Drosophila melanogaster: one gene and its partner. The protein of the gene in region 2 purifies or fractionates together with the protein of the main gene of each other region. This does not show direct contact. Each region holds a gene or a part of one and is shown on either strand. Other genes may lie near its edges. The genes, in order: LUBEL and CYLD.

The links.
Region 1: the proteins of CYLD (region 2) and LUBEL purify together in Drosophila melanogaster (affinity purification with western blotting, with the first as the bait; one study listed by BioGRID). This does not show direct contact.

The regions. Positions count from the first base shown.
Region 1 is NT_033779.5:6,767,915-6,773,109, forward strand, and holds the start of LUBEL (linear ubiquitin E3 ligase), read right to left. Parts: upstream 3,055-5,195; 5' UTR 2,972-3,054; intron 2,796-2,971; 5' UTR 2,731-2,795; coding exon 2,677-2,730; intron 2,620-2,676; coding exon 2,421-2,619; intron 2,357-2,420; coding exon 2,220-2,356; intron 2,168-2,219; coding exon 2,039-2,167; coding exon of another isoform or gene 2,015-2,038; exon of another isoform or gene 1,923-2,014; intron 1,823-1,922; coding exon 1,484-1,822; intron 1,214-1,483; coding exon 932-1,213; intron 879-931; coding exon 590-878; intron 532-589; coding exon 1-531.
Region 2 is NT_033779.5:10,295,080-10,301,560, forward strand, and holds CYLD (cylindromatosis), read right to left. Parts: upstream 4,769-6,481; 5' UTR 4,668-4,768; intron 4,142-4,667; 5' UTR 4,126-4,141; coding exon 3,965-4,125; intron 3,911-3,964; coding exon 3,702-3,910; intron 3,335-3,701; exon of another isoform or gene 3,050-3,334; coding exon of another isoform or gene 2,944-3,049; exon of another isoform or gene 2,899-2,943; intron 2,858-2,898; coding exon 2,626-2,857; intron 2,528-2,625; coding exon 2,352-2,527; intron 2,292-2,351; coding exon 2,137-2,291; intron 2,078-2,136; coding exon 1,859-2,077; intron 1,781-1,858; coding exon 1,546-1,780; intron 1,487-1,545; coding exon 1,345-1,486; intron 1,290-1,344; coding exon 1,093-1,289; intron 1,032-1,092; coding exon 838-1,031; 3' UTR 780-837; downstream 1-779. Other genes in the region: hand, read right to left, coding at 130-220; CG13138 (uncharacterized protein), read right to left, coding at 5,143-6,481.

The DNA of each region.
Region 1 (5,195 bases), 3.5 Mb from region 2:
ATTTGTGCTGATCGGCTTCTTGGAGCTTCTGCTGAATTTTAGCTTGAACCAAGGCCCGAGCACCCGATCCCTCAGACTCCAGATCGGAGTAAATGCGACTGGTTCTGGCCGAGTCCGTTGCTGTTTTGTTTCTGGTAAGGGTTCCCTCATTTTCCCGTCGCTCCGGTAGCCACTCACTCTGCACGGACTTGGCAATGGATCCCCGACGATTCCGCATCTTGTGATGCACCTGATCGCCGTCCAATTCATCGCTGGCTATGAGTTGGGAGGCACTGGACAGGCGCCTTTGGCGGGGCTGGATATGGTTTTGGTGATGCTGGGAGCGCGAGGCACTAGTCATGCCCGAGCGATTGGACACCAAAGATCTGCGGTCATCCTGGTCGGAGTCCTCGTCATCCGTAAGTTCGTCATCCACGTAGCTATTGCGCTTGCGACGCAAGGACATCGATTTGCGGCTGGGTGTTGGTGATGCAGCGTACCGGGAACGGGATGCAGCTCTGGAGGCAGCTGAAGGTGGCATTCCCATGACACCTGCGCATTTAAAGTGCAATATGTAAATTAAAATATAACTAATAGTGCCTCATTTTACCTGGATGCATCATGGGATAGCCTGGTGCTCCTGGATACACATTGGGCATCATACCACGCTGGGTCATAAACACTGGTGGCGGATAGTGTGGATGATGTTGCTGCGACATGTAACCCGGTCCAACGTTCAGGGACAGATTGGAGTTGTTGAATTGCTGTTGGGAGCCGAACTGTGACCACTGATCGGGATGCTGGTGCTGAGGAAGTGCTTGGTGCGGATGCTGTGCCCAGCCAGGATGCTGCTGACTCTGTTGACATCCAGCGCAGTTTAGCTGCGCCAGGGATTGGGCCTGCAAGCGGGATGGTATCTTAGTTTCTAAGGGAGCATGAAACTCTAACTCACCTGCTGGATGCGCTGATTGGCGAGCCAGGCACCTCCGTTTTGGGCCTCGGACAGTGGTCGACGTGGATTCGAGTTGAGATTGAACACCGATGTGCTCATCTGTCGCCGCTGGGCGCCGGCCGCCTGTCGTTGTTGGAGCAGCAAGGAATTGTGAAATTGTGAGTCATCCGAGAGATCGAAATGGGATGAGTTCAGGCCGGATGACATGCTGCCGGAACGAAAATGCGAGGGCGATGGTGAAATGTTTGACCAGTGCTCGAAGCCGGCTTCATTCGACAAATGCTGCGCTTGGGAAATGACCAACGAGAAACGGAAAAAGAAAGAGAGAGAGAGAGAGGAAAGGGAGAAACGACACATGACGAAACGAGACGAGACGATACGATACGAAGTGCAAGGATCAAATACTATCAAGGATCAATGATTAATAAATTAACATTTCATTTACAATTATAACTGATCCTTGACACAATTTTCGCCGAGCAAAGACAATACGATACACTCAGTGATGAGGGGACTCGTACGATTGTGATTCGGGGTCAACGGGTCACTCACCTGTTCGCTGTTGGCGCTCAGATCCTGGCGAGCCTTCTGTTGGCGGTACCGCTGCTGCAGAATGGCCATGCGGTCCAGCGTGGCGCTGGCCTTGCTCTTGATCTTCTCCAGCTGCACCGACGGCGGTCGCTGGATGGTGTCGAACACGGACTTGGGGGTGCCCGATCTGGAAGATCCCCCGCCCTCGCTGCGCGGTGGATCGGGCAGTGGTCGGTTGTTCATCTGGTTGGCAGAGCTGGTGGCAATTGGTGGCACTGGGGGCGTGGCCCCGCCACCGAGCGATCCCCGCCAGCCGCCCAGCGACTTGTGCGAGGGCGTGGGCGAGGGCGGCGGCAGCATCTGGAAAAGAGTCGGGTTGGGTGCCATTTCGTATGGGTATTCGGGTAACAATTGAAAAAGTATGTCTGGATCGCTGTTTCTACAATTTTGGTCGGGCGTTCTGGTTGTAAGGACTCTTTTATTGAAGCATTCAAATTGAAGTTTACAAACTTGGTACTACGTGTAGCCCATGAAGGAGCCTTTCTTACGGGTCTAGGAGATCGTGCAGTGGCGTACCTGATCCTTGCGGCCCAGAAACGGTGTCAAAAGGCCTCGTTTGCTGCGTCGTGGAGGTGCCACTGGTGGTGGTGCCCCACCACCGGCCTGTGCCTTTGGCGGAATCGGCGGTGTGCCCTGCTCCACAGCCTGCAAAACGAAGTTCTTAAGTTCAAATTCATAATGGATCGGGAGAACTTACCTTTCTCATGTGCTGCTTACGTTTGGGATGCTTGTGGAACATGTCGTCGCAGGAGGCGCAAAAGATTTGGCCGGCGCACTCGGCACAGGTTACCCAGGGATTCTGGGAACCGCACAAGGTGCACTTTAGTTTGTTATCTGCAAGTGATAATTATCTCTGGTAGTATTTTAAATAAGTGGAATATATAAAAAGGTTGCCCACCTGGTGTCTTGGTTCTGATCACTGTGGTCTTCATCGGTTCGTTGGAGTACTGCTGGCTGGAGAATTCGATGATCTCGTAGTCCGGCTCGGGAGTGCTCTTCGCCTTGGGCGGCAGAGCAGGCGCCTTGGGAAGACCACCAGCCACACCGTTTGGTGGCGTGGGTGGCGGTTTGGGCCCAATGCGGTCATTTGCCTCCATCTGAAATGGGTAATTAGTGCAATTGGATATTGACTGGCAAACTGGATATTGGCTTACCACCCAGGAGGGCATGGTGCGAACATTCTTGTTTAGCAACTGGTGGGTCGTCATCTTGGTCGATTTTTTCGTCTGGGTTTTGCCGTCACTTAATCGTCTTTTTGCGCTTGATTGGTTTTCTATTTCATCGAAATACGTAAGCAGCAAAATATTAATATTATTATAATTATTTATAGATCGCAAATACCCTGTGCCATATTTTCGCCCAACCGCAGCCACTTCAAACGACTTCAAATTCAATTAAGCAAAGTGCCAGAAAATGCGAATTATGAATGCATATTTTTAGCTGGCTCACCCAAATTCCGAAGCCAATGACCAAAATGCAGTTTCGTGGATGCCGTGCACAAAACTAAACGCTGCCACAGTTCGATCGCGAATAAAAACGCTAAATGTAGTCGAAAATATCTTTCGGTGCATAGAAAACAAAAATTGAAAAATGTATATATTTTGGCATAACATTTTCGGTCTTGTTTATTTATGAAATCATGCGAAAGAGGGAAGTGCTGTTTTGTGACTCAATCGACTCATTCTGTCAACGCGGCTAAGTGGCTGAGATGCCAAGAAAATTGCAAAAGAGATTAGACTAGGGAGAAGAATTCGAATTTGAAAATAGTTCTCAAAAGTTTCGAATAGAAGAGTATTTCATGTAAATGCTTGAAAATAAAAGCGAGCGAATAAAACTAACAGAGAGAGGGAAAATATTGACTAAAAGCTGAGCGAATATGCATTTGGTAATGACGCAGGTGGCCAAATCGTTGCCAAATAGTTTAAATTAAATAATGGCCTAAACAACATAATAATTCCATTAGTAAAGGTATTTCAAATGCTGACTTTAGTATATATTTTAAGTTTACTATAATTGCGTCCAAGGCATCAAACTTTTCAACTCAAAGGGCAACGCACCGGTAAAAGTTATATGTATATAACTAAATATTTCATATATAATTAACTTATTAGATATCTATGTTTCTTCATGTTTTATGAAATGTGTATCTATGATACCAAGGAATCATTTATCTCTTGCATATTCTTGTAAGTTAAGATTGAATGTTAATTAAACTTTTTAATATACATATCTGCACTTCAAAGTTTTCCTTACTACATTTTATATTCCTGATACTTTGAGACAATTTCCCGTTTATTGAATATGTTTTATATCTCAATAATATCTTTTAGAGCATATATTAATCCAGCAGCTCTGGCATATTTTCCACGCACTAGTTAAGTGCGTAACGAGCCATAAAATTTATCCATAAATTTCGGAGTCGCGACGCCTCAGCCAGCATAGCAAAAATCAAGCCACACTGTTCTCTCGCATTGCGTATACGCAACGTGTTCGCTGGGCCTGCACTCCCGTGTCTGTTGCGCTATTTTTGAAACCATCCGCAGCCACTCCATACATTTGCCCCGAAATTGTGTCACACTGTGCAGCAATATTTATGAAAGCCGCCTGCAGTGGTGGGAGGGGCATGGCCCGGTGCCACCTCAATCCCGCCCAGAAGATCGGCCTGCTCCGTGCGGCGACTTCGAGTGGCAAGTGGCCTGGCAAGAGGCAAACGCAACGCTGACTCACAGACACAGACTCACGCGGCGAGGGAAAAAGTTTTATTTTTATAGGAGAACGAACGGTGGGAACTATTTTTAAACATTTCTTTGGCTTGCCTATATTTGCGTTTTTTTTTTTAGTTCACAGTTTTTCATTATTTCAAATTGGCAAATTAGCTTAAAAAATTTGATTTAATTTTGTATACTTTATTTTACGCTTTGATTGTTTATCCCGGCCAATGCCTTGAACTTTCCCATGGAGAGCGTTCTCCGCGTTTAAAATTAGCTGAGTTTTATATTTAGAACACTTGAGATCGATTTAATTGCGGTGTGATTTTAAATTGGCTTTTGAACTTTCGTAATGGATTCGATCGACCATGAACGGTTGGATATCCGCGAAATCAGAGGTCACTTACATAATTCGATTTCACTTGACGCGTCTTGCCGCACTCAAAACTGCCACTGCCAGCTGGTAGCACATGAATATATATATATATATATATATATATATATATATATATATATATATAGGGATATATATATTTTCCTGATATCTAGCCACAGCGCGACATGAAAATTCAGCTACGGTCTCGTTCGACGATCGTCTCCCAGCGAACTGAAATCTCAATCAGATTCTAAACAGCACTTTTACTGCAGTCCGCGGTCCCCAGTCGTCGCCCGAGTAGGAGGAAGTCAACGCAGATCTATGTGCTCCTCTGGTCTCGTCTGGTACGGTTTCCCCCTGGTGATCCCCTCAATCCTCGATCAGTCGCATCTCTTTCCTATTTTCAGCATTTTCGCGTTGTTTTATAAATACATCGTTTTCGAGCGGCATAGAACATTTTGACTGCGAGACGCCGTCGCGTGTGTGAATATCATTAATTCTCGAATATATATCATTCTCAGCTATTTGTTGTTAAACATTTTACGTTGTTATACGGAACTGATTACTTGTTGCGTTTCTTTTTCATGAA
Region 2 (6,481 bases):
ATACATTATTTTCCATACACACGAAAATATAAAATAAAAGTCGCTTTTGTACTGGAATTGGTACCACAAATCACTGTCCCAATTTTATTTAAATAACAGCGAAGTAAGAAGAATGATTTAAACATTTACGTTTCATGTCGAACATGTTGGAAGTATTATAAATTGAGTTATAATACATGGTTGAGTATTCGCACGTCAAGGCAACGGAATTCTTAAACATTTTCTAATTTAACGTAATTAAATTCAAATCAAATTCGCGGCTTAAGATCGACATTTTCGCAGATAGTGCGTCGCACGTAAAACTCGTCTTTGATGTCTGGCAAGTAACTGAAAAACTTTTTCACTTGTTTAGTGAATGTGCGCCGTCGAGTGAACAACATCTGGATATCCTCCCTCCAAATCCACCAATCGCAATCGCCGACGTTTTGCGTCGACCAATGGTGGGCACTTCAAGATTTATATGTATGTATGTACTCCCGTGTATACATACATCCATATATATCCGGAATATGAACTGCCTTTCATGGTCTAGTGATCCGTAGTTCTCTAGATGGTTCAGTCCTGTTTCTGGAGTCACCTTGAAAACTTCTCCTAACAAAAAGCACTTCCTAATTGTTACAAACTTTTTGTAAAAAAAATATAAGCTACTTGGTATATTAGTTATAGAAAACCACCTATCTTTATTTTTTCCTGTTATATATGTAAAGCCTACCCATATTAATATCATAAAACATATTTTTCAACAAACCAATAACCATTAATAGGCACAAAATCCATTTCACATGTGATTTTTACAAAAATTTTATTGCATTCATTTAATTTATTGATAAATTTGCTCTAATGGTACATCATTATATCTGTGCTTTGGTACAGACACATATAGGCATCGCAAAAAATACGCTTGGCGTGTTCAGGTAATACTTTATCGTTCGTTGAAGTTTCATTTATAGATCGTGCGCCTTCTTCCGAGAGCCACTGTGTTAATTCTGGAACACACGTAATTTCAGGTATATTGTATCCATTCTGTTCGCCTGAAATAACATTTGCGTAAGTATAAGAAACTTGTTAGGTTAAAACTAAGATTTTGCTTGCCTTTTCGATCAGCCATTGAATCGAAGAAACACCATGGAGCATCTGGTCCGGATCCAGACTTGACAAATGCCACGTAGTGAGATGTTTCTATGCAAACGACTGCAAATAACTCCATGTACAATCGCGGGACAACCATGTGCTCGGCCATGATTTTAAATTCCTTCGGACTATAAATCTTCTTCGACACATGATTCGTTCTGAAAGATAGGTTTTTAATTGGTTTTCATTCATTTATCTATGAAGATAGCTGACCTTTTGATGTGACTGTGAAATGTCTTGAGACATTTTGGACAAAAGGCGGTGCATTCCAGTCCTGATCCAGCCTGCAAGCTGCCAAAGCAATCCCGGCACTCGTATTCAGCTAGTTTGCCACAAAGTGAGCACTGTCGAGGAGCTGCAAGTTGAATTTTGTTAAGATTCGAAATGCAAATTGTTATATTGTTGAACACCTACAATTTTCAATTATGTCTGTGACATCAAGAACCTGCGATGGCAATATCCTTGGATACATCTTGTAGTTCTTTCCGAAACGAGGCATTTGAATGATGAAACAAGAAGGAACCTCCTTTAGTTTTATATCCGATGAGTGAAAGCTTTGCTCAAACAATTGTTGCACACTCGGTAATGTTAACTTCTCATCCTTCTCCACAAAGAGTTGGTAAAAATAAGAATCTTGCCCCGAGCTTAGCTACAAAAAAAAAAAAAAAAAAAAAACATGTAAATTATTTAGTATAAAAATCTATGCAATAATGAGTACAATAAGCACCTTTAGAAACGGTTCAACTCGCATTATTTGTGAGAGCAAACTATTTAGGAACTCTTCAGGATCCTTTTCCTCGCAGGTGAGACCGCTGACCGAACTTAGCTGATCTAGGAGCTCGCGCAGTTTCATCACACGATCGGATCGAACGAAAACGTTTTTTCGCAATGGATTGACGATCTCATCGCGCAGAACCTTTTGAACCTCACTGTAATTTCGAATATCCTGTTGAAAATAAAATAATTTGTTATTGGTGAGCTGGGCAGACAAATCGAATAACTTACTTGTGGGCCCGGACGTCTGTACAGAATTGAATCGAAAACACTGGTGAAAGTGAACATGGAAAATAGAGTTGCATCAAGGTAGCAGGAATTATGGTGTCCTTGTATTCCTTTGAACTTTCCACATATGCTAGCAAGCTCATCGGAATTGTGTATTTCTGGAAAACAAATAGCTGCATGAACTCCTTTCCTTTATTAAATGTTTATTGTTATCTTACGTAATGGTGGTATCGAGCCATATATGGCAGGACAGTCAGCGACGCCAAATTTCTTTGCGTGATTACTAGAAACTCTGTTTGCAGAAATGCTATTATCTACATCAGCAAATCGCCGGTCAGCGGTGCATCTGTTGGCTGGTACAAAAATAGCTCGACCATCATGGCAAGTAAATAAGCTAAAACAAAACACAACACAGAAGATATTTTTCAGTTAAGAGTTTTTCTTGTATGAGTACCTATTTATGTGTTTTAAATGTTTAAAAGTATGACATACCGTACGCCATTGTGTCTCCCATCCGATGCCACTACATTTTTCAAGTTGGATTCGTCTTCTACCTCGATTCCGACGAGTACGTTTTTTTGCGGGCCAGGCGGTATACCTATCCATCTCACAACGCCATATAGATCTTCACATACTCCAGGATTCGAGACTTCGACGAGGGAACCAATCGCTAGCTCGGTTCCAGGTATTTCAATCAGAGGTTGATAATCAGCGATTGTAAAACCTAGGACAAGAATAAAATTAAAATAAATTTTAATTTCTTAGAAAATCAAATTAAAAAAAGCGGAACGATTTCATAATAGATCATACCAAGTTCTTCGGGCAATAAATTTGGTGAATAAAATTCTAGCACTGTTAATGGAATATTATTGTGGATATCCGAGTCAGAAGACAATTTTTGTTGGTATATATTCATTTTTGAAAGACGCACAGCACAATTTTAATTTCTTTACTAATTTTTATGTTTTTTTTTTTTTCAGCAATTGAGAACTTTGATAAAGTGCAGAACAAATAAAACTCCTCGACAAACTGCATATATCAACTCAGAGAACTGCCGTTTTACGTGAACGTAAATAGAATATATGTATGTGTCGTTATGTATTTGGCCGGCGTTCTATAAATAAATAGACGTTTTCATTTCGTTGTCTTTTGCAAGGAAGCAAAGTGAATACAAGTCTTACAACAACTGTAAAGTATCGAGAATAAAAGATTCAATAACAGTGAACGCTATATTCGAAAGAAGCGACTATTACATACCTGTTTACTCAGCTAAAAGAAGTGCGATACACTTGAAAATAGACAACCAGCACAAGGAGTGATGTAGCAGGCAGAATTTGAATGTCTTTTGCAAGCAGTACAGAAGACTGCTTGAGTAATTCCACTAACTAGAACTAGCTTTTACAGTTCCTGAGATCTCGTTATTTATATGGACGGACAAACAGGATTAAGATTAAGAGAGCTAGTAAACCTGACCAAGAATGTAGCAGGTCGGAACAGATTCCTTCCTTAGTTCTTAATAATGATATATTTCTTTTCTTTTTGAAGAAATGACAGTAAAATAAACTTACGTAAAGGTTCCTCCGGCTCTATTTTTAATATGGGTGAGGCTGGTTTTAAAATTAAGTCTACAGAATTACTAGGATCCGTTTTACTTTTGTTGTTTAAGATCATTGCAGCTGGTCCCGCTCGTTTTGGCCAATTTGTGCCCAAAATGTCTGCCAAATCCACATCCTCAAGATGTTGATTATCGACGGCACTATGGTTGGCATCGGTGTTTCTAAAAATCGCTCATTATTAGCTTTAAATGAATTGAAACAGTTTTACTACGTACTTTAAAATTCCGTTTTTTCTGTTAGGAATCTTTTTCGGGTATACATGGGTCTTGTGCTCGCTCTCGTTGGATAGTTCATAGTTTTCCAGGGAGTCCCCGAATCTATTTGTTATGGTCAGCTTTTTTTCTTTTTCTGCTTCATAATCGGATTTGGAATTCATTATTTCCAACTAAAGGCTATAATAACATTTGTATTAGTAATTAAATAAAAAGGATATACAAAATGTATTGGTCATAAGTGTTTTTTTATGAAAAATTTTAAAGAGCATGCTATATATTTGGCAGAGAGTATTCTACAGTCGAGTTAAAACTGTTAAACGAAATAATCAATGATACTCGATGTGACGGATTCTGTTTGTAACTGCTTAGTTTGCAGTCGCTTACATACATATGTACATATGCACGTAAGTATGTAAGAGACATCAGGTTGCTGTAACAGTAGTTCAATAAACATTCCATTGTTTTTACGCTAATTTCAATCTTGCATTAAATATTTATTTGCCAAGGAGGACTGCACAGAACAAGTAACAGGAAATACATGCATAACAAACACAATTCGTTAGCAACTTTTCCCTAATTGATAAAAACAATGACACACAACAATCGCGACTACATTGGTTTAATAATATTGCTGTTCGCTGAAATACCAAATGACCAATTAAGTTTTTAGCGCAACCCTGTTTGAGTTTTAATACAAACACACATAAATTGAACTAACAAATAAAAAGGTGTTTATATCCTGGATTTTTGTTTAGTATTTATAAAATTTGTGTCTTTTAGAATGCGATTGGAATGAATTCTGGATATCGTTATCGATTTTACCGCAATCGACAATTGTTGGGGGTAATCTTGAACCAAAAAAATACAATACAGTCAAAAAAACAAAGTAATAACGGTTTAAAAACGGTTTTATTATATAGAATATGTAACAGTATATTGCGATTTGTTTGTCGTTGCTTGTTAGGCTTAGTATGTTTTATTGCTTATGAATTTTATCATAAACTTTTAACAACAACAAAATAAACAATTTTATATATTCTAATATGCATTATATTTTATATTAAGCAACTTATTTTTTAGCATTTTTTTTATTGTGGGGAAAAAGTCTTTTAAAAGTCTGTCAGGTATATAATAATTCTCTGAATAGGATTATTTACGCTAAACATTTGATTAGATTATCACTTTTGAGCACCTTCTGCTGAAGCGGATTGGATTGGCAGTTCCACATGTATAGGACTTTGAAAGGCCATTGGTTGGAGTTGTACAAACTGAAATGGTATGGAGAATGGCATACCGCGATAGGCATTAGCCGATTCCTGTGGACTTAGGTCTACGTTGGAGCTATTGACAAAGTCTGGAGCAGAGTTGGCGGTCTCCAAATCCTTTCCCGTGATATTGAAAGGAGTAGGGGGACCGACGAGTTTCAGGGAAACCCCATCCCGTCCAGGAGAAGTCGATTCAATGCTAGTTTTGGGTACGTATTCCTGGTTATACTGCGAATCAAAACTACTTTTTGTTACGTAATCGTGCTTAAATTGAGGATCAATACTACTTTTCGTCACGTAATCGTGCTTAAATTGAGGATCAATACTACTTTTCGTCACGTAATCGTGCTTAAATTGAGGATCAATACTACTTTTCGTCACGTACTCGTTTTTAAACTGCTGATCGAGATTAGTTTTCGTTGCGTAATCGTGCTTTAACTGTGTGGGCACGGAGCTTTGATAGTCCTCCATCCTCGGAGGATGATCCAATTCCCTAGATTTGTATATCCTGTTGTAGTAGTTTGAGGATGGTAGGCTGGATGGTTCGTGTTCTCTGGGCGGTGGATGATCCATTTCCATGTTAAATTTGAACTCCTCGCCGCGTGGATAACTTTCGTAGAGTGATGATGACTCGAACTTATATGGCTCGCTGGAACGAATGTAAACGGGAACCTTTCGTTCTACCTCAACCTTATAGGGCACTGGTACCTTCTTCTCGAGATGAACTGGCACCTTTATTTCGACCGGATACGGAACAGTCCGGAGCACTGGATACGGTTTCGGTACGTGGACTATTTTCTCAATTATCTTTTCGACCACATATGGTTTGGGCACTTGGACTGGCTTTGGGATGTGAATCACCTTTTCCACTATCTTTTCGATAGGCACGTGCACTATTTTCTCAACTGTAACATTCACCAGCTTGGGCACATGTACGATCTTCTCGACAATTTTCTCAATGGGCACATGGACGACCTTTTCCACGGGATACGGTTGTGGTACTGTTTTGATCAGCTCCTTTATGTGGTTGTGATGATGGTGGTGATGATGATGCTTGATTTTCACCTTCATCCGCTTCGCATCCTTCTTACTCGAGTGCTCGACATGTTCGTGCAGAATCGCTTGTGTTCCGACCTGTTCGGATGCCTGGTATTGACCATCGTCCTCATCGATATGCTCGTGGATCTCTTCGAATGTATGATAATGCCTACTTTCCGTACTCTCATCCGCATAATTGGGACTCACATTTTTT